3 linked regions of the Lepisosteus oculatus genome follow. The protein of the gene in region 2 purifies or fractionates together with the protein of the main gene of each other region. This does not show direct contact. Links are inferred from orthologs where the notes say so. Each region holds a gene or a part of one and is shown on either strand. Other genes may lie near its edges.

Region 1 (7,485 bases), on a different chromosome or scaffold from region 2:
AGCAGCAGCTGCCAAACATGGGATTCCTGCAGACTGATGGAATGTGAGGGCTTGTGCCGATGGCTGCCCAGGAATTAAAGACGCTCCTGTCCCTCCGAGTTTAATTCCCTTCCCTTTCCTCCAGTGCCAAGAACAAGAAACAGTCAGTATAAATAGAGCAAGCAACTGTTTTCAATTCAGCCATTTTTTATTCTTTTCGTGTCGTATGGTTGAATAAGATCAAGTACAAAAATCCCAAGGAAGCTTAAGTTCTTTTTCTTATATTTGTTACCACTCATTCCTTCGTTTACTTCTATGTTGCACTTCTGAACTGGCCTAACATCTGTCCAAAACTCATTTTTGGTTTCAGGCTGCCCAGAACTGTTGTAAGCAGGGGACTGGATTTAAGATATGGATAACAGTGTGCTTGGATGCCTCCTTCCACCTCCTTTCTGTTTGTATGAATTTAGCTCTCTTTGTAGTTAATGGAGACCTTTTGCATCATGCACATTTTTCAAATCGTAGCTTACTTTTAAACCTTTTGATTATCCTCTGAAGGTTTTCGGAAAGTGTGACTTGTACTGAATGGTACTTCTAAAACGTTCTAAGCAACAACAACAAAAAAGCATCGGGTAGCGCTTATGGTATTGGTCTGAACCCAGGGCAGACGGGGTACCAAGCTGTGTGCAGAGAGGCAGCGGAAAGGCAGAAAGAGGGCTTCGGTGACTCAATCTCCACTCCACTCTGGGAAAGTGAGCGTGAGAAAGTTAGTCAAGTGGAGAAGAAAACAAGCTTTGAATACCCGAGGCAAAATATATGTTCATTTTTATATATTTATTTTCAGTGAAATAGTGTTTCAGCCCAGAAAAAAAGCATCCAAGCTACATCCACTACCCAGGACAGTAGATATCTAGTTTTTTCTCCATTCTGCCCGTTTATCGTTTTTCACACAGAGCTATCTTCCAATATGCACCAGAGAACAACGATACATGTTGATGGGCATAGACACACAGCCTTAAATTATAAACCTCCCGGGATTTGTGCTGCAGTGCTGAATTTGTTCAATATGCTTCTAAGTTCAATATGCTTCTCAGCAATATCTGAGAAGTTACAATGACTTAAAAGAATAATTGCTTGAAATCAAAACATTTTCTACTGTAATAACAGTGATGACGTATACCGTTTTGCGATTTTATAAAGAAATGTTTATTGAAATCAACATCAGTGTTAATGGGGTTTAATAGTTATTTAGCCTAAATCCTCGACGATTAAAAAAAACGATTTACTATTACATGTACTGCTAATACCACTTCCACTATAGCCATAACCAGTAGGTGGATTACTCGGTAAACATGACAGGGCTGAGACTGTGCGTCATGTGCTTTTCCTCGAATTGTCAGAACCTCTGCAGCGTGTTGTCCATTATGTGGTCAGTATTAAACCCGTGATGCAGGGTACAACGTTTATTACACGAAAACAGTTGGGGGGAAAAATGATCTTGGTAAAAGGATTAAATGAGGAAAATAAACTTGCTCCGCATAACTTTTAAGCCCTTTAGCCTCTCCCCCTCGTGCAAATTATCCTGGGATCTGTATTCTAGATACGGACCATGAAACAACTCCAGCGGCCGAAGGGATCGTTCATATATCTTGGGATTTTTAAAAGTCTGGCGATTCAACTCTAAACTTCGGTGACTCCCGGCCAATGAATGTGGCTAGTTCATTATGTTTATACAGTACGCTGCACGAAACTGGAAACTAATGTAATGTTGTTTATGCTTCACCTCCTATCCTTTTCAACACACGAATGACCCCTGAAAAACTTTAATTAAGCCGCTCTGTGTTGCTAACCATAACGTATAAACTCGTTCGGTTATATTAAAATGCTTTCGCTTTCATAAATTGTTACGGCAAAGTACGCCGGGGGGGGGAGTGACGACACGATAGAAGCGACACAGAAAGAAAAGTAAAAGCACGACCCAAAACTTTGGGTCGCTCGTCTTTTTGTTGTTGTTGTTGTTGTTGTTTTTTGGAGGGAAAAGTCTGTGGAGAATGATCCGAAGCCACTCAAAGGGCTGGAGGAGATCGCTGAAGGGGGGGGGACAGCGCGCGCGCTCCAGGCTCCAATCAAATCCGCCATCTCCGCGCAGCAGCCAGTACAGCCTCCCGCAGCTGCGGGCTGCAAGCCGGCAGAGCAGGCGCCTTCCCCCGGTCGCTCGCCCGCCACGCGTCGCGGGGTCCACAGCAGCTGGAGAGCGCGCAGCAACTGTGTGTGTCGGAGCGCTGTTAAGGTAGCACGGGGCGGAGGGGCAAACACCACCCCACCCCCCCCACACACACACCATACGTACACAAGCAGGTAAACGGTGCCGCTCAGTCCACAAAGCACACAGAACACACCTTCCACAGAGGAAATGACAGTTGATATCACAGTTTGCAGGGAGGTAATAACTAAATGAGCCGCATTTGCCCCGAAAGCACACACAGCGTGCGATATCTGCAGACTGTACAACACATCAACTTCATTAATTGCAGCCCAGAGAAAAGAATCCACTACTTGGATTTCTTCACGTCATCAGAATAGAATTTAAGGGTATCAGGACTCTATTGAAATGCACATATATAATTAAAAATAAGAGCAGCCTATAGCTTTGTTTATTAAAGGATAAGCATATATATTACATATATTACTCTATATACTACATGTAAACTTTATTCTTAGTTTATCCCCAAAATGCATGCGGTACTTTGAAGAAAGACATGCTCTCCCTTGCAGGTTTAAATATATGACTTTATGCAGCCTTTAGATTAAGTAAAATCAAACCCATAATAAAATAATTAAGGTCTCTTACCATTTGGAAATCGACCACAATCGAAAGCAAAATAATTTACCCTTTTCCTAAAAAAACAGACGTTTCAGTTCCTTATTTTTTTTTACTTATTTTGGTAACATTTCAGTGAGGTCGCACTTCTGGGCTTTCTGGAATTAAAAACGGGGAATTGTTAAAAATCACTTCCAGAAATGTCCGTGAACAACATTAAAATATGAAAGGCTGCGAAGTTTAATTTACAGTTCTAAGCCCTAACCATGCCCTTTATTGGTGCCACTGTCGGCGTTGTATTAACCACGTATAAAAGCTTTATTTGATGCACCACAGATGTCAAAATTAGACCGCTACAGAAGACCAAAATGACTACCGAGCGCCCCCGCTCCCCCGCAGGAGGTACTGCGGGCCTCACCCCTCGGCGCTCCGGCGCGCGGAGAAATAACTCCGGACTGGCTCGCATTCCAATGAGCCCGATCCAGATCGCAGTGGGCGTGGTTTTCCCAGGCTTTAACACAGCAGCTGCTATTTACCTTCCCTCTAATATAAACCTCCACCGCCACCCCCAGCCCGGCAGCCAAACCTCAACCACAGCGCGCAGTAAAACATCCTGGCACGTGCTCCACATTCACAATAGCGCTCGCATGCCGACAGATGTCAAACTGCCAGGCTTGCGCTGCGCTGCGCTTTAAAGACACAGCGCCGGCGCGGATCAACACTACTGGAGAGAGAGAGAGATGCATACCGTAGGCACCGGGGCCGTCGAAATCAAGCAGTTGTTTGATTTTCGTTTTTTCTTCCGTTTTAAAAGTTGAATTTGTTTGGTCCCGAAATTCATTCAAATGAATCTCCCCCCGACCCCTTTATCCCGCTTCCCGAATTTTTATTTAGTCTCTTTTTTATACATATTTTAGGCAAAGATCGTGAGAAAAATAAAAATAAGAAGTTTTTTTTTCTCTTGAAAAGAAGAACCATTGCACTTCAAAAAAAAAACTTTATAACTTTTTAAAATGTTACCAACTGCCCTAAAGCAGAAAGATAAAAAGCAGCATTTTTATAGCAAATATTGTTTTTATGTTACAAACCACACATTTATCTAAATGTTAATATTTTCATTTGGGAAGTATCACCATTCGCCTTACAAGCGAAGTCGAATGCAAAAGTCGTTTTTTAAATATTCAATTGGCATAAAACTGCTACTTTTAGCAGTCCAAAACCTAATATCGTCTGCAAGCACCGTATCTAAAATTGAAGCAATTCGGAACAATTCTTTATTCAAAAAATATAAGCGCCGATGCAAATACATTACAGGACAACTATGCGATAATTAAAACAAAGAGCACTAGAGTTTATTACTCATTCTGCAACGATTACTACTATTATTAAATGCGCGGCGTGTTCATTTTATTGAACTGCGATCTGTGCATAAATACAATTTAAGTACAGAAGGCTTATACTCTTTAAAACAAAGTAGTGCTCTAAGAACCATCTATAAACGAAAACCAACAATGCCAACGCATAAGACAGGCCTCTTTAATTAAAGCGGATATTCCGTTCCCTTTAGGGCATTTTATTGCCGTTTTGCGATAATTAGCGTCAGGTTTTTTTTTTTCAGGGGACATTACGCCATGCCAAGTTTAAGCCATAAAAAAATCACCCTTCGACAGTGTGCAGCATGCGACCGCCTCGCAGGGCCCTAGAGCCGAAAGCGTTAATTTGTGAACCGGGGTGATTGACTGCGCAGGGCCCGTGTTGGCCTGAGCCCAGCCGCGCGCCATTGGCCGCCCGTCCCCGCGCCGCGCAGCCAATGGCGGGGCGCTGTCCACGAGCCGTCCTCCCCTCGGGCCGCGTGTCCCTCACGCTGATTGGTAGAAAGTTACTGTGGGAAAGAAAGTTTGGGAAGTTTCACACGAGCCGTTCGCGTGCAGTCTCAGATATAAATAAGACCTGCACGACGTTGGGCTGGACGCTCACAACGTTGACAGTCTGACAGTAAGCTCAGAGCCAGCTATAGCGCCTCACTGCCGCTCTGATAAACGGTACCGCGCATTGATAAAGGTGTATGACAAGCATTTTTTTTGTGTACTTTCCAACCCAAGACGAGGATTCTGTCTGGAAAAAAAAACAAACAAAACTGGGGGATTTTGTATTTAAAAGAAGACGTATAAAACTTAACTCGAAGAAGCAACGTTTTTTTTAATAACAAAAAAAAAAGCCCAGCACATCTGGCAACTACAGGAGGGGGAATTCACCAGGTTCTGACAGCGGCCCAAAGGTTTGTGGGATATTTGCCAAGCGAAGATGCCAGCCGACATGATGGAGAAAACATCCTCATCGCCAGTGGCGGCCACCCCGGCGAGCATGAACACGACGCCAGATAAACCCAAGACTGCTTCCGAGCACAGGAAGGTAACTATCACGCATACCGCCCCGATACCCGAGTATCTAGCGAGCACAGCAATCTTGTCACTTCTGACGGTGCGGGTCCTCCGGGTTCAACGTGTCGTTTTTCTCCCTTTTTTTTTTTAGTCCTCGAAACCGATTATGGAGAAAAGGAGGAGAGCGAGGATCAACGAAAGCCTGGGCCAGCTGAAAACTCTCATCTTGGACGCACTCAAGAAAGATGTAAGGATTCCGTCCTCCTCACCCTTTCGTAACCGCTACAAGCCAGCAGCCCTCTCCTGCATGGACATACTGTAGTGCTGTCGGCGCAGTCAACCCGTGTGCCGGGTTCCGTCCGAGAACAGGCGGCGGAGATGTGTTATTAAGCTGTTCGGCCGGAGGTCAGCAGCAATGAATGATTCTGATCTTTTTTGATTTGCAGAGCTCCAGACACTCGAAACTGGAAAAGGCTGACATTCTTGAAATGACGGTGAAACACCTTCGAAACCTGCAGCGAGCGCAGATGACGGGTGAGTTGCCTTATGTCGGCGTTTAATCCTTGGAATTATTTCATAGCTGATGTCTTCCAGACTTCCGTCTGCGGTTTAGCTGGTATTCGGCAGCAGTTTTACCGACTTGGCTCATAGCTCTGTTCCCACGGTCTGGAATTATTTATAGACACATCTTGTGGTAGTTCCGGGAGGCAGAGAGAGAGGGTGGATAAGAATTAAAATGTGTTTTTTTGTGGGGGGGGGTTCAAACTCCGCCAACATCTCCGATGCTCCGGCTGAGGCGGTGTTCTGACACTTGTGACACTTCACCGGCTACTCGTTTCGCGGTTTGGCGACGCGCCTCTTGACTTGGTGGACGAGCCCGACTAATGCTGGCTGTGCCTTCTTCCTGTAGCTGCTTTGAACACTGACCCCACCGTCCTCGGAAAGTACCGCGCAGGGTTCAGCGAGTGCATGAACGAGGTGACGCGGTTCCTGTCCACCTGCGAAGGGGTTAACACCGAGGTCAGGACACGGCTCCTGGGCCACCTCGCCAGCTGCATGTCGCAGATCAACGCCATGAACTACCCCACGCAGCCGCAGATCCCCGCCGGCCCACCGCACCCGGCGTTCGGCCAGCCCCTGGTCCCGCTCCCCGGCGCCTCGCCCCTGAACGGCCCGCCTTGCAAGGGTGGCCATGCGGGCAGCTTACCGGCGGAGGCGACGAAGGTGTACGGCGGCTTCCAGCTTGTACCGGCTACGGATGGACAGTTCGCCTTTTTGATCCCTAACGCAGCCTTTGCCCCTAACGGACCAGTTATCCCCGTGTATGCCAATAACGTCGGCACGCCGGTACCGGCTGTGTCCCCGGGCGCGCCTTCGGTCACGGCTGACTCGGTGTGGAGACCATGGTAGAAAGCGCTGTGCGAAAAAAAGAAAAGACTTTTTTTGTTCTTTACACGTAATAGCAAAAGAACTGGTTTCTTCTTGTTTAGATGCCTATTTTTTGTATGAAAGTGTATTCAAGTGAAGAGTATGCACTATATTTGTATATATTATATATGAGGGAAAGTTCATATTGAAATGTTTTGTAAAGTCAGTTTATTGAACTGCATTTTATATTCGAGGTGTCTTTTTATTATGTGATGCCAAAGATATGTTGAATGCTCTTAAGAACGTGTCTTCCTTTTGGAAGATCTAAATAAATTTTTAAAACCGATCTAAAACGCAGTTGTTGTGTCTCTTTGCACACTTTGCTGCCCTGAGCTTGAGAATCCTTATTTAATGATAAATACCTCCCCACTTCCTAACGCTGCTCCGCTAACTAGTTGGAATGGCCGAAGCCTTTTTTACTTGTAGGTCACCGCATAATGTCGATGAAGCCTTTAAAGGTCTGTGAGGCATGCTTGAGGGTACAGGGAGTTCAAATCATTCTGCTTCTGGAGATCCTCGGTTAGAAGTTGGGGAAAACCCAAACTGCGCAGCAACAGGTCGTTTGGAATTAGTATCGCCCTGAAAGTGGTAGGGTGATTTATTGCTGCTTCTCAAATTTTACTGCACAGTCGCCTTCCCCGCAGAAACTCGCTAAACCCGAAGGCGAGTGAAGTGAGCTCCGGTCAGTGCCTGTAACTACACGGCGACGTGACCCCTGAACACACGAGTCGAGCCACAACTGCACATTTTTTAGGGACTAATAACGTCTCCTGAACGTTTCCATTAGTGTGAAAAATATCAGACCTACCAACATATTTAGATATGTGCAATAGCAAAAGTCCAAAAAGCTTATCATTATCTCATCATGAGCCTTTT
Region 2 (7,319 bases):
TTCAAGTAACAGTTATGAATTCTAGCGAATTGGGTACCTTTATGAATCAATAAAGGCTGTGATAGTGATGCACATGAGAAATCAATAAATTTGCATGAACAGATTGTTTAATGATAACTGAAGACAGAAGAACATTGGAGGGTCCTGGCACGGTCTTCATCAAGCAGTGAATAAATAATAGCTGCAGTTGATAATGATGGAGATGATTATGATAACAGACACATACTGTACATTAAGAGAGTTACTTTACAAATGCAACACATATTTTCAGCACTTAGAGTGCCACACTATCCAATTAACCTGTCTATGTGTGAGAGTATGTCATTGTAATATGCTTATAGAAAATGGTAGCATTCATGTTCCCTTTTGTACACAGTGTGACAGCATGTGGTGAGCAATGTGTTTTTATTTTAGACATGCAATGTTGTTACATGAAGTCACTGGGGCATTCAGAGTCCATCAATCAATCATCACTAGACATCAGCAGTGCTACAAACTGAAAGAAAGCACCTGTGACCAGCCCAGGCTTGGTCAACCAGGTGTAATGACTCAAGTGAGACCACCTGAGAAACTGCTTCCAAAGAGGGCCAAATATGCTTTCTAACACAATTGGGTGTCAAAAGACTCATAAACCTGATTGCAGTCATCGGGCAGTTCAGAGCTGTAACATATTGTAGTGTCTCTACAACAGTACTGTCCAGACTCAAAATCTGCAACATTTGCAAGCAAGCTTCTGACAGATTTCAAACAATTCATGTGGAATGCATCACTTATTGCATTCAAATGCTTTATCCCCATTTAAATGGTCAGTGGTTGACATAAGGGTCATTATGTCTAACACATATACAGTATGCATAAATTTGGACATAGGCAGAGATATTGAGTACAGACTACACCCATCATCTTATTATTAATCTGGGAAGCAACTGCCAGATAAGCAGCATTAATTTGACCATGGTTAATGATGACATACGCATCTACCACTGCCTGTCCTGTCCCACAGGTGTTGGATTGTGGCTGCAGTGCAGTTGGTCAGTTCATGATATTGATCATGTTGCACATTTTATGATGAAAGAGTGCAGTATTATTTTGACACTGATATTGCTGTGGTAGAACGCAAGTGTCATGAAATTGTAAACATGAAGTTGTATAGTCAGGTTACAATGGACATCGAGAAGCTGACTACTAAACTCTGCATTAATATCTTCCCACACCATCTGTCCATGCTCAGGTGATGCTTTCTCTATCCAGCCCCACGCCCAAAATGGAAGTCAATGTCAATGTCTTCCTGTGCAGTTTCTGTTTGAAGTGTTGATGTCAGCATTATACTATTGAATTATTTATTCTGAAACAGTTTTGCTGCTGTGAAAAAAAAAATAAAGGGGAAAACAGAGATCACTTGCATTTGCGATATTTTGAGTAAGGATGCAAAAAATGTTGTTTTCAGTAATGAAAGGTGTAGAGTTAGAAGCAAATTGACAGTCTTAAGTGGATTGGCGAGTGATGTCTGAAAAGGGTTAATCCTAAATCTGTGTCCGATTTGCAGAGGAAAAATCACAAATGGTGTGGGGAGCCATTAATCCAGAATTTAGGAGTCAGCTTCTTGATGTCCATTGTAAACTGACTGCACAGCTTCTTATTCACAATTTCATGACACATGTGTTCTGCCACTGTAACAGCGATATCAGAGTCAAGATAATACTGCACTCTTTCAACATGATAGTGTACAAAATGATCAATATCGTGAGCTGACCAACTGCATTGGAGCAACAATACAACACCTGTGGGACAAGATTGGTAAATGCATATGTCATTATTAACCATGGCCAAATTAATGTTGCTTATTTGCCAGGTAATTCCCAGATTGAATATAAGAACATGGGTGTAGTCTGTATTCAATATACTGTATATGTCTATGTCCAACATTTTGCATATACAGTATGTGTTAGACATAATGGCACTGTCAATCATTGACCATTTAAATGGGGATACAGCATTTGAAGCCAATGAGTAATGCATTCTGTAAGAATTACGTGAACTCTGTCAGAAGCTTGTTTGCAAATGATGAAATGATATCACAACCAAATCCTTCTAGTCAATTAAAAATATAAAGAAATGCATTTAAAACAAATATTAGGAGACTCTTCTTTATACAAAGGGCTGTGGGAAAATGGAACAAGCTACCCAGCCATGTTGTTGAGGCTAATATCCCTCCTTTTTTAAAAAGACAGCTAGATGAGATTATCAGATAAATTAGTTACTAAATATCAAATAGGTAAGATCTTTGAATGGCCTCCTCTGACCCATCCTTATTCCTTATGCTCTTTTTGAATAGCAGCAGTCATTATTGTTTAGCTTCAAGATGAGTAGATGATCAGTCTAGCAATGATTAACGTTGCCATATGTAACTGAGACTTTTTGTAATTCTTCAGGACCAACAGGACAATAGTATTTCTTTATCATTTCCACTGATATAATTCTATTCCACAGGACGAAATTAGCAGGTTTTATTACTGATCACTTGATGAATCCAATATGTAAAGGAGTTTAAACAAATTACAACACCACATGGTTAAACGGCTCTTCATTATCTGTACTGAGTCATTGTTGTTCTTGCAGAGCTGTGCTGAATCTTTAAAACAAAGTTTAGGTTAAAATCCTCAGCCACAAAATATATAGGTGGCAATCAATAACTTCCAATGTTTCAGTCAACAAATTCATTACATTAACTAGAGGAATAAATAACAAGTTTCTGGTTAGCAGTGCAGTTGATGCAATGTTAAGAAGTTAATATGAGATATTCTTTAAATTACAAAACAGCTTGTGAGGGCATAAGTCTTACTGCAGTGTTGTCAAGGTGAGTTAGAAATCTGTCCATATACTTTGAATTCTAATGTGAAAGCAATAACCTGCTGTCTTCCATCAGTGTGATCTACAGTCACAAAGAGCATCTGGCATGATCTCTGACCCCACTACATCATGTCAGTTTTACAGGTCAGCTGTTCCTCTACTCCATCTACCTACTATGTTGTCATTTTCTACTTATTTTATTTTCGTTTCACTGCAAAGTATGACTTTGTTCAAGTACTGATCTATATGTAAGAAGCAGCACTTAAAAATGTATTTGAAGCTGAATAATGAGGAAACATAATTATTTTTGTACATTTCTTTTCATTAACTGCAGTTATGCTTATGGTGTGTTATTTGAAAAATTATACATTTTTACAGTTGATTTTGTAGCAAATTTAATTAAATATATAGATGGTCAGACATGCAGTTTTGTGAAAAATCTTCCTCTGAATACAAAACTCTTTTAGTTCTAAAGCAACTTTTAGGTCAGGATAACCTAAAAAATAATGCCTTACGGGTGACAAAAAATCTATTTTTGTATGCTTGTTTTATATGCATGTGCAGTAAAAAATAAAAACTTTTAAGGTTGTAGATTACCATGATCTGTTTTTTTTTTAAGATATAGTAAAATGTCTGGATGGTTGGACAGAACAGAGTTAAAAATCTGAAATAGAGATTACATAGAATACAAAAATTATAGGTCTGATATGTGTGATCAATTAATAGATTATTCACTGTTAAGCTATGGGCAAAGTCAACAAAAATACAGTAACTCCATTTCTAACACATGGGATTTTAGACTCAGAATTATCACATCCAATCAGCTTTTAAAGAACATATTTATTGAAGTGGGATGCCCATTTTCTGTAATGCTGTGTACCAGACGCTTAAAACAGTAAAAAAAATAATGAAAATTTGTAGGTGTGCAGATGATAGGTAGGCATCTTTAATAAAGCTTTATTTCTCAAGGTTGATTTTGTCTTTAGAAGTTACCTTTCCAGCTTCACACATATGCTAAGTTACCTTTCAAACCTGATGTTCTTAATTATTTTCTAGAACATTTTAGGTCTTTTTTTTTCCTTGAATGCAAAATCAACAAGGTGTAAACGAAATCGAAATCGCATTGTTTGTACAAGGAGAAAAAAAATCCGATTCTGTCTCTTTAAGGATTTCGCACTCGTCCCACGTTACTTTGACTGACATTTGAGGATTGTCACTCTCCCGCAGACCGACCACCTCATCCTTCATTCTTACATTTAGCACTCTCTCCTCTGCCATTGGTTGCCTTTACCGTATCTCAGCATAATCGACAAGCATGAACTCTCACGTATTGATTCTATTGGCGAGTTAGAGAGGAAACGTCATGACCCCACGTGTACATCTAACCTTGATTGGCTGCCGTGAGTTTTCAGAGGCAGGTCTAGATCTGGTTAGTTCAGGGAGTGTGAAACCGCGTGTTAATGTAAGCAGTGGGGAAGAGTGGGGTTGGGTGCTGTATTGTCATTCTTATTATTAAGATTTCCATTTTTATTGATACTTTTTATGTTTTAATATTCGGCTTTATTATTGAGCTATAGTTTAGGTGTTGTATTATCGAGTACTTTTTAGTTGTTTTTTTTAATATCAAGTGCATTTCCATGTTTTGCTAAAAAAAACATTTTCATTTTATCCTGGAACAGCACACGCGGGGGATACTTCATCAGCCATTTGGAGGGAGGTGTTATTTTTTTTTAAAATAATCATTATTTTTGAGACTTTTGCGACAAACGTTTCGGTTTGGTCTTTTTGTATGTGTCGCCTGTTCGCTTTGTTTTTGATCTTTCTGGATATCGCTTCGGGGAACCAGCGCTACGTTGTTTCATTGGGGGAAAGAAAAAACAGTTCCAGGGTGGACTTTATTTCGCTGTTTGTGAGCAAATGATTTTCTCATTTTTGGGGGGATTTTCGCTTTCTCTATTGGACTAACTCGAAAATCAACGAAGGTCCACTGTACAACACAAGTTAATTGCAGACCTGCGACGACTAGGAAGCGCTTGTTTTGTTCTGCGAAGGAGACGGTGGAGTGAAATAAAAGGACGGGGCACCGAGGTTTGGTTTGCTTTACGACCCCATTTCTTCGGGGATCCAGGATGAATTTATCCTAATTCAGAGTTTCCTGCTTGTGCTTCTCAATTTCTGCTGAAAGGGGTTAAAAGATAACCGAGAATTGAGGATTCCCGGAGGAGGCGCTTGGCTGAAGGAGCAATGTTTCCTCAAAGCAGACACCCTGTGAGTGTAACAGTACAAAGGAAATGGGGGAAAAAGGAAACTTCGCGGCTTTTGCTTTCCTGGCTGAATTCGTCGAGTTTTAATTTGTTCGTTTGTATGCAAAAAGTGAACGTTTTACAGTGCACTGAATGCTACGTTGTTATAATACGGGTTAATGCTATCCAGTCGCTCATGCGCTAACTCTTCAGTCGTTTTGATGCCAGAGTTTATTCGTTTCGTGGTTTTCCAGCTTTCCTTTTGTTTCTCATTTGATTAAGTCATAAATGCACAGCGCAGTCTTTTTTTTTTAAATGGGTTGCATATGATACGTTCTTGCCTTACTTAATTGGTAACAGCAATATCTTTGCAGCGTTTTATAGCTTTTTTCCTACACGACAGCCTAGGACTTGTCTGCCCCGCTTGTGATTTGTTTCAGTTTTTGTAGTGTCGTGTGCGTATAAAACTTCCTTTCAAAATTGTGAACTAAAATCGGCAACATAAAACCCGTGATTCTGCTGTCCTTATTTCATTTCTACTTTGACAGACGCCGCACCAGGCTCCTGGGCAGCCCTTTAAATTCACAATTCCCGAGTCTTTGGATCGGATAAAAGAAGAGTTTCAGTTTCTACAAGCCCAATATCACAGGTTAGTGCAATTTCCTATTTACATAACAGTAGCCAGCGCGAATATATCTCAATTCCGGACGAGTTATTTACATTTGACTGTTTTGTGTCCATTCTGCGGTAGGTAAAGTGTGGTAAGGTTGAAGAACCAGAGGGTGGCGTTTGTAGTCAGGTTAAATAACCACTTTCCTTCCGTCTGTGGACAGGACTTGTCTAAATGTCCTTGTGGTTTAGGGTGTGCATACACTCTACAGACATTTACATTGCATTTCAAAAGTTCTAAGGCCGATGTTTTTCATCCTTTATTAACTCTGATCCCGGCTTGTTTTCTTGGTGTCCATGAACAGTTAACTATCGTGTGTTTTGAAATGGTATTGTGAGGAATTTGGCTTAGGAGTGTAATGGCAGCTCCATATACTTTATGGAGCTTATGTGTGCAGTCTGGTACGTCAGCCTAACCACTTAAAAATGGAGTTTATCGAAACAATATGTAAGCAGTTAAGCATTTTATTTACTCAAAATTGCAGCAACACTTCAAATATAATCGCCCTTGTTTTTTTATATATGTCAAGTGATTTAGTTCTGCATTAGTGAACCAAAATGTTTTCCCTTTCAGTAATATTGAAATGGTAATCACTGTAACAGCCAGAATGGAGCATTACTTTGTTTGCCATCTTATTTTTTTTAAACACTTACCTGTATGAGTGGTCATGGAGTCATATTGAATATAGATGACATTACCTTTGGCTTAAAAGAACTCAGAGAAAACAATTTTCATTTACCCTGAACTCAATTTGTAAGACTGGATGTCTTAGGTGAAGGTGGAATGCTGCCACAGTATTTCTGAGACAATCTTATTATACACTACTTTAACATTTTGTTCTAGAAAGAAAATGAACTGAACAGAGATCCTGATGTAAATGTGTCAGTGATTGAATTTGAGGTCCACATGTATATAATTTACTTTAAAATGGTTTACCTATAGTGCATTAAAAACACCTTGTCATTATGGGAGCCACAGTCACCAACAGTGCATGTTTGATGTGAAATTACTGGAAAGTTAACAAGGATGACTTGGGATCTGAATTGCTCTTTATAGTAAATGCAATATGCCACTTTTTTTTTAAATTGAAGCTAATTGCATAATTGCTTGATAATTTGCAGTTCAGTACAGAACTTTCTTAGGCCCATGTTGATACTAAATATGCAAAATTCAGCACTTTTTCATTAAGGCAGGCTTGTTACAGTAATGTCAGTTCTTAATGCGATTTTTGTTAACTGTTTCCTATTATACATTTTAATTGAACATGTAATTTGACCTTTGTTTTTAGTCTCAAACTGGAATGTGAAAAACTTGCAAGTGAAAAGACAGAAATGCAGAGGCACTATGTAATGGTGAGTTACTATTACGCAGGCTTTTTGTGCAGATTGCCAATTTCTCCTTTTAAAATCAACACGTTTGAAAGTAATCTGTGATGTTACATGGTTGTTGACTTTTGTGCATGTGGAAATCTACGACATAAACAGATGTTTGAAAAAATGTGTGAGGTGTGCTCTGAAACTGACAAGATTAACATGTGTTCACAGTACTATGAAATG
Region 3 (7,665 bases), on a different chromosome or scaffold from region 2:
AAGATAATCTTTCTGCTTTATATTACAGGTACCAGAGAAAATGAATACCGGGCTTTTCTACTAAGTAGCTGGAAAACCACAAAATCTCATCCCTGCAGACAACCTGCAGTGTTCAAACCTCGGATACGAACTGAGTGATAGGTTTTAACAAAAAGAAATATGACTGATCGAAACAAATCACATGCGGTATTTCGTCATTTGTCATATAGCTGAACAGTAGGTCGCAAACTGCCCCTGCATTCTGATAGTGTTTTGTGATTATTGGCTGATACCGTTTAACATAATAATTGTAAAATATCTAACTATGATTAGCATCAGACATAATGCACTCCGGACTCGAGAAAAACAACAATTCATTATTTAACCAAACCTGGAAAATTGACATTGCAAGTCCGATAAGAAATCTTTCAGTGCTGTAAACTAAGTGATTTCGAGTTACTGTTTCCGCCGGTCTCTCCTAACTACAGCCTGCGGTATGCCGCTAAATTATTGTTTGTTGCCGGAAACGAATGTTTAAAAATATATCAACAGCAAAGATACAAACATCTGATGAAGAAGAGGCTTGTCCACAGAACACTACGCTAGGCACGACTATTCCTCGGTTTCTGCAATATCTTGTTAAACGTGTATACTCTACACAGCCTTGTGTTAGAGTAACCAGGTTTTGAATGGTTATTTCTAGGTAGATGGACCATGACTCGTCCTTTTAAAACAAACATAGAGCAGATCGCAACAGAACTTAACGGTCGTTCACGTGGAGTACAATAAACATACAATATTTGTAATTCGAAATGCAGAATTAATTTGCCCTAAAACACCGTCTGGCGACAGAAGTTCTTGGTAACCACAGTATTGAAAAACTAATATGTCCCCGGGGTCCTCTTGTGGCTTTTTTTCTTCATTTTGGAAAGACTGATATTCGCAATTATTTTCGCCTTTATTTGCTTCTTCGTCTTTCGTGTCCCTTGTTAATTCCTCTACAACTTGTTTACTGTTTTCTCAGATCAATGGTGTATTACACGTTCCCTGTATGAGCCTATATTATATGGAATCTATACTTCTCTTTACACATCAACACAATACTGATGTTCACGATAAATCCGCATAGGCACATACAACAGAACAACTCAATATTTACCACTAATTGAATTATGCATATGTTCATAATGTGCATCGTGATCTATGTCTAAAAATATTGAGAATAATATACACCCAAATAAAAAGGGTTATTATTGTCCCAATATTGTCCAAAAAGGCTAATATGCAGTAAATCTTATCCACAATGGCTATTTTTTTAAATAAAATGTTTGGTAAAATATATTCACTTTTAAAATAAATTCACAATTTAAAGAAATTATAGGCGACATGTTAAAAAGTTTATTTTCAGTTATTGGACAACTTCACACGTGGTTTGTTTTCAAGCAGCCACGTATTCCTTTACAGTAAACCTGAGAATACTGATCAGATAATTACATTAATTGCTTGGAAGATTATAATTGGCGTTAAAGCACTAATAGAGTTACACTGTGTATGAGGTGTGTGTCCCATGGTAAATATTTAAATTGAGCAGCTTGTCTAGACTTGCTCCTGTTTTAAACCTTAAGATACAAAACAAAAACATTACATAAAAACAGTATAACTACTAATACCGCGCAGTTCAATCAACCGTCTTTGAGCACTTTGTTGTAAGGCGTGAGTAATTATAAAAACGCGTTGTGTGGTTTGTCTTGATATAAACTAGGCTTGGCAAGAGAGTAAATTTAAATATGGTCATATATTAAAATGATTATTTGCTACAATTTGCTGAAGGGACTTTCTATATTTGCAATAGTATACATTACTTTAAGGACGGAAAAAAAGAAAAAACATAACTGCAATTTTAAAACATTACGAAACCATAAATACAAATTGTCGCAGCTAAGATATATAATTCAAACTAATTACAGAAAATTGTTCTAAAGCTCAGAACAATGACGAACCATTATGTCTTTTTAAGACTGACAAGCACAATTACTCTAAAATACCGAACGTTGTTGAATATATAATTGATTATAATCGTGTTACTGTTTGAATAAAGATGACGGAAGCGTTTAACGCTGACAACAAAATGTTTATAAATACGCTATTTATTCAAACAGAGCCATGATTCACTGCAGGGGCACACATACTTTGTGTATGGAAATCAGAGATGTTATGTGGAGATGGAAACAGGGCTACCTGGAGACTTTGCAGCGCCTGGTTTCAGGGCCTTTGGGAAGCAGGTTCTCCTCAGCGCTGTCGGGGCAGCGCCCTCTAGTGGTAGATGCAGCGCTGGTTTGCGGCGCTCCGAAAGGCTGGCGAAGCGCTTTCCCCGAGTAAAAACACCCCTAAAACACCGCACTTGACAAATACAACAAACTAGCGCCCTGTTATTTAAACCGGAGCCTCGTTGCTGCAACATTCAATCGTTAACGTAAGAATACAGTTTTGCCCCCGGGCTAAATGTGTAGCGCAGCCCGCTTTGGGGTTGAAACCGGTCGGCAGGAAACCGCAGTGAAGTCATACAGTAACTGTACAAAACGTCGCCGTTTTAAGAAAAAATATTGTATTGTCGTCCGCGAACAAGCTAACGCTTTGTTCAAGTTCGCGTATCAGAGACAGTTCACCGTGTGACGCGTGTAACTGTATCACCAGAGTCTGAGAAGTTCCCGAAAATTACGCCTCATAACTTTTGCCGTACGTGAAGAAAAACATTCATTTCACATACAAAAAAAACAAAACAACAACAAACAACAACAACAACCCCATCATATATAACATCCAATATCCTACGTTCAAACGGGGTCAACGGAGGGGTGTCAGAATCTACGAACGACACACCTCTAAGAAAAAGCAGTTTGGTTGAAATACCACAAACCTTTCGTCCCCGTCCCCAATACCTTATTGCGGCCACTTGTTCTGAACGATTTCACAACCCCGGTACAAGGCGAATACCCCCCTCCAATTTCAAGAGAAGCGGCCGAAAGCGATGATAAAAAATTCGTCGCCAACCGGCAGACCTCTCGCGTGCGCCCTCCCCTCCCCACCCGCGAGAGCCCGGGCTTCCTCGAGCGCGCAGGCAGCGCAGCGCAGCCGGGCGGTGCGGGAGCGCGAGCTCCCCGGAAACCGACTCCCACCGTTACCTTGGCAAGCCGCGCGACCGAGCCCGGGCGCTCCGCCGCACCAAGGCCGGCGCTGGAGGTTTCGGGGCCTCTCAAGCACAGGTCTCGGCGGGGGCTGGTAACCACACTCTCTGGCTGTAAAAGCCTTCCCCCGTTAACCTAGCTAAACTTGAACGACCCTTTTGACTGTTTTCTATGTACTGGTTGTCTAAAGTAAGCGGAACTTCAAAGTCACAGTAGCCAAACAGCCTTACTCTGCGCCCACTCCAACCTGTACCCCTATGCCCGCTGTAATATCAACTGCCTTAGCACATTAAATTCATTTCCGCGCTAACACAGATTTGTGCGATGAATGTGGAGCGTCTCAACCTAAAACGTTAACTTAGGCACGTCAATACAAACATTCCAACAAGCGTCTTAATTCCAGAAATAAACTACAACCCTGCCCTACACTGGAAACAATCTTGTCTTTAATTCTGGCAAAGGAAAACAGGTTTAAATTCCCATCTTGTTATTGTCACCTAGATAGTATATCAACAAAAAACACAATGAAAGTCTTCCGCTATTCTCTAAACATCAAAACTATTGTCATTTTTTTTGCGTGAAATCGATCACAACCTTTTAAGTATATTTCTACAATTTTCTAAATAGGATGCACATTTAATGAATAACAAATTCTTCTATGTTTTATTCGCTATTAGAGAACACTAAGAAATATTTCTGAAGATCATTTTGTGAATTTCTTTGAGGAGTATTCATTCCACGCTAATTGAAAAACGAACAAATCCCAGGAACAAGTTCAGGTTTTTCAGCCAAAACACTATCGCAATTTAAGAAAATAAACACAATTATCTAAAGATTATCAGTCTAATCTTGAAACATGAGCTGTGTGAGTTGGAATTGTTTATGAAAAAAATATCCACATCCAGTATGTGATTGAGATCTGCGTCGTTTTGTATTTGCATCTCTATGTGTAGCCTTGGCATTTCTTTGCATAAAATAGTTGAAGCCACAGAATCAAATCTATTAAGTTTATTGCTCTGTTTGAACCTCCTTTAACACACATGAAGGACTTCCTACTCATTAATGCTAACAAGGACTCATGCCGACCAAACAGCTTACTTGATAACATCTCATTATTATTATTATTATTATTATTATTATTATTATTATTATTATTATTAATGACGTTTAAAACGTGGACGTTTTCGGAGTTTTAGGGTGTTCGTTTACACCATTTATAGGATTATAGGGAATTACATTCTTATAGCAACCTTGCATTTCACATGAAACTCGCCACAGTGCGTTTACTTTTACAGAACACTGGCGAAGAGTCGTATGAAGTTATTTTTCATTTGACAGAGGGGTACAATTGTTCCGATTTTCAGTGGGGAAAAGTTCAGGATTTGAAATAACGAACTATTAATGTATTTCTAAAAAAAATCGATCGTCTTACCTCGATCTCAATAGTTTATTTATACAAATTGGAAATATAACACATATCTGTCGAATTGGAAATTAATCTGCACATTAGAACTATATTTAAGCTGTTTGCCTGTAATACAAATCTAATAATTCTTCTTTATGGAGAAAAGTAGAGGAAATACCACGTGGATTTTCAGACACGTAAGAAAAACCTGAACTAATATGTGGCATTAGGCATTTCGAAAATAACGGAGAAAGAAATACTTAGGTCTAGTTTTGTTACACATTGAATGAACAACATTTTCTAAAAAAAATAAATTAACCGAGAAATGCAAATACACTATTTTCAGCACACGTATTTAACAATAAGACCATATTTATTTATTAAAAACAAACTTTTTACTATTGTTATAACAGAGGCTCATCTGTAACTAGTCGGCCCTTTATTCGTAACAACAATGAAACAGGAATTAACCAGAAGGCAGAAATGTGATGCACAAATGTATTTCTGTGTCGTCTAATTACTGATGATAATTAATTGGAGATGGAATGGGGAGTTTTGAACAGCTTGGAGTTGGGGTCAATTAAACGAACAAAGGGGAAATTCTAGGGGTTGATGTTCAAGACTGAAAAAATACATACAAAGACGCCTATTCTACCTGGTAAAAATACGGCCAGCTCTGTTATTGTAAAAAGAAAAAGAAACCTTTCTTTAACAGTTGTAAAACAGAATAGAAATACTGAAACCTGATACACAACAGACAACAGGGAATGTTGAAAAAATGAAATACTGGGTAGTCTTAAACTGACCTTAAAGTACAAATTATCTGACATCCAAATCTACCACGAGGAGTATAAAGGTCTTGTGGAATCTAGCGGTAATTTGGCGCCACCGCGTGGCCACTAATTTAACCAGCCACAATTCTGCTTTAAATTCTTAATCGGGCGAGATAAAGGCTTTATAATCTTGGCCTAACTGAACTCTTGAAATAACAAGTCAACCTTGACTTACTTGTTATCGTTATTTTTCAGCCTCTAAAAATCTCAAAACACCAGTCATTTTTTGGTTGACAAAATCCGAACTGAAAACTTCAAAACGATTAAACTGAGGGTTCCGTTTAGAAACTACAAGAGAAAATAAATATTTCAATTGGTGTATGATCACAAATCTAATATGTTACATAAACAAAACAAACCTAAACTTCTAAGTATTATTTACAAAGATTTCCTATTACATAAGTATTATTTACGAAGTAAACTTCATATTGCATGATTTTAGATTGTTGTAATTTTAATATATTATGCAAAAGTAGTGCATTTCTTAAACCTTTACCCTTGCTGTAAATGCCTACCTAAAACTTTAGTTTGCGAGAAATCATATTTCAACGCTTCCGAAAATACGATCTAACGGATTCAGTCCAAATTCTTAGATTCAATATAGAGCTTAGAGCTCACGCCCGCGTATTGTACTTCTAAGGCTTAAAATTCATTTGACATTCTTTACGGAGAATTGCTCTTAAGGCTAAAATGTTTGAAAAACACAATTTCAGCTAAAGTCCAGCAAGTCGGCGTTACAGAACTGTACTGTGTACAAGAGAATTAAAATACGAGTCCTTATAAGGAAAAAAACAAATATATACATCAAACGGTGCATTTCAGTGATATGTCAGACAATTTGCCGCAAAGCAAAATAAATTATTTAATAATTAAACAAGTCATATCCAGCAGACTCTGAGCATATTTAAATATGTGTTTCAAAGGTATGGGGACGTAACATATTGATAATTTGTGTAAAAAGGTGTCATTAAACGAAACAATCAAGTGTTACACAGTTTAAATAACAGAACCTACTTCAATATCTTGTGGGGACTCAAATCATCACAAGAGCCGACTGTGAAGCGAAAAACCATCAGACAAGCCGGAGGCGCTGCTAGTATGGGAAAAAATGTGGAATAAATACTATGCTACTATGGGAATAAATATGGACATAATACCTCTTATATTTAGAACAAACCATTCCCTGTTTTTGTTAAAATTTGTAACAACTGTTTGTCCGAGATCGTGTTGCTTCAGAGGAACAGAAACTTGATTAATTTTCCCGATTTCAATGTTGACAACTCGAGATTAGATCCACCTACCGTACAAGCTTTTTCGTTATCACGAGCTGCAGTACAAGCGTTTCATCTTTAGAAGACAAAACCGTTAATTTGCTTTTCGGTTCAACTGAGCATACTGTATACTGACTTGTCCATACGTTACGTCCCTTTTTATCAGTAGATTGGTTTTGTACATTCACACGCCAGAATATCCCAGTCAAGCAGTATTAAATATTTCAGCTGTGTTGTGTGTCCCGCCTTTTATGAAACAATCTCCCAGATGTACACACTTACTCAATTATAATTAATTGTAACTAAATAAATAAACTGACGGAATTCAGTTCAGGTTCCGAAGCGAGAAGATCAAAACGGGCTTTTAGTACCTTCAGGGGCCTTTTCAATACACGATTGAAAACAGACCCATTAGGACTGCCTAGTGTAGAGAACTCCATCGGTCTGGTTTCTAGTGCCGCTCCTAACGCACCACAGTATATTATATTGTTCTTTGACTCGGGTCATGCGACCGAAAATGTATCGAAATAAGACCTTAACTTTAAAAAAGGAAAAGTCAGCACCATAATTAAATATTTAACAATAACAACGCATATTTAATTTAAAACGACCGGCACTAACACCCCAAAGCACAAAGCAACCACAGGAATAAAGTCTCGTAGGTATTAACACATATTTCAGGCGTTTGTTTTGTTTCTTTTGTTTTTTTTCTATTTCCCCTTGTTTTCCTTGCTGCACCATGCGATCCTGATCTCAGATTAGGCAAAATCTTTTGTTTTGTTTCGAAAGGACTTTTATTACCGAGTACAAAATAAACAAACCCTAATAAGTGGCCATAACTCGTCTTGAAAAAAATGAACAAAACATTTTTGTCTGACCTTCTGCGCAAATATTTCGGGGGCAAACTCCGCCACACAGGGTTTCGAAACTATCAGTCAGCGACATCGATAATTTCTCCTAACCACAAATCGCTAAATATTCATTTAGTTTTC

What was found.
Region 1: the proteins of transducin-like enhancer protein 1 (region 2) and her6 purify together in Homo sapiens (affinity purification with western blotting; 4 studies listed by BioGRID and IntAct, with this or other methods). This does not show direct contact. The link is inferred for Lepisosteus oculatus from reciprocal best matches to the Homo sapiens genes TLE1 and HES1.
Region 3: the proteins of transducin-like enhancer protein 1 (region 2) and foxg1a purify together in Homo sapiens (affinity purification with western blotting; 3 studies listed by BioGRID and IntAct, with this or other methods). This does not show direct contact. The link is inferred for Lepisosteus oculatus from reciprocal best matches to the Homo sapiens genes TLE1 and FOXG1.

The regions. Positions count from the first base shown.
Region 1 is NC_090708.1:9,265,717-9,273,201, reverse strand, and holds her6 (hairy-related 6), read left to right. Parts: upstream 1-4,734; 5' UTR 4,735-5,104; coding exon 5,105-5,212; intron 5,213-5,332; coding exon 5,333-5,428; intron 5,429-5,627; coding exon 5,628-5,715; intron 5,716-6,091; coding exon 6,092-6,591; 3' UTR 6,592-6,895; downstream 6,896-7,485. UniProt on the Homo sapiens protein: Transcriptional repressor of genes that require a bHLH protein for their transcription. May act as a negative regulator of myogenesis by inhibiting the functions of MYOD1 and ASH1.
Region 2 is NC_090698.1:60,295,443-60,302,761, reverse strand, and holds the start of transducin-like enhancer protein 1, read left to right. Parts: upstream 1-4,303; 5' UTR 4,304-4,938; exon of another isoform or gene 4,939-5,035; 5' UTR 5,036-5,094; coding exon 5,095-5,118; intron 5,119-5,641; coding exon 5,642-5,742; intron 5,743-7,051; coding exon 7,052-7,115; intron 7,116-7,307; coding exon 7,308-7,319. UniProt on the Homo sapiens protein: Transcriptional corepressor that binds to a number of transcription factors. Inhibits NF-kappa-B-regulated gene expression. Inhibits the transcriptional activation mediated by FOXA2, and by CTNNB1 and TCF family members in Wnt signaling.
Region 3 is NC_090703.1:5,959,546-5,967,210, forward strand, and holds the start of foxg1a (forkhead box protein G1), read right to left. Parts: upstream 3,008-7,665; 5' UTR 2,919-3,007; exon of another isoform or gene 2,897-2,918; intron 2,761-2,896; exon of another isoform or gene 2,218-2,760; intron 1-2,217. UniProt on the Homo sapiens protein: Transcription repression factor which plays an important role in the establishment of the regional subdivision of the developing brain and in the development of the telencephalon.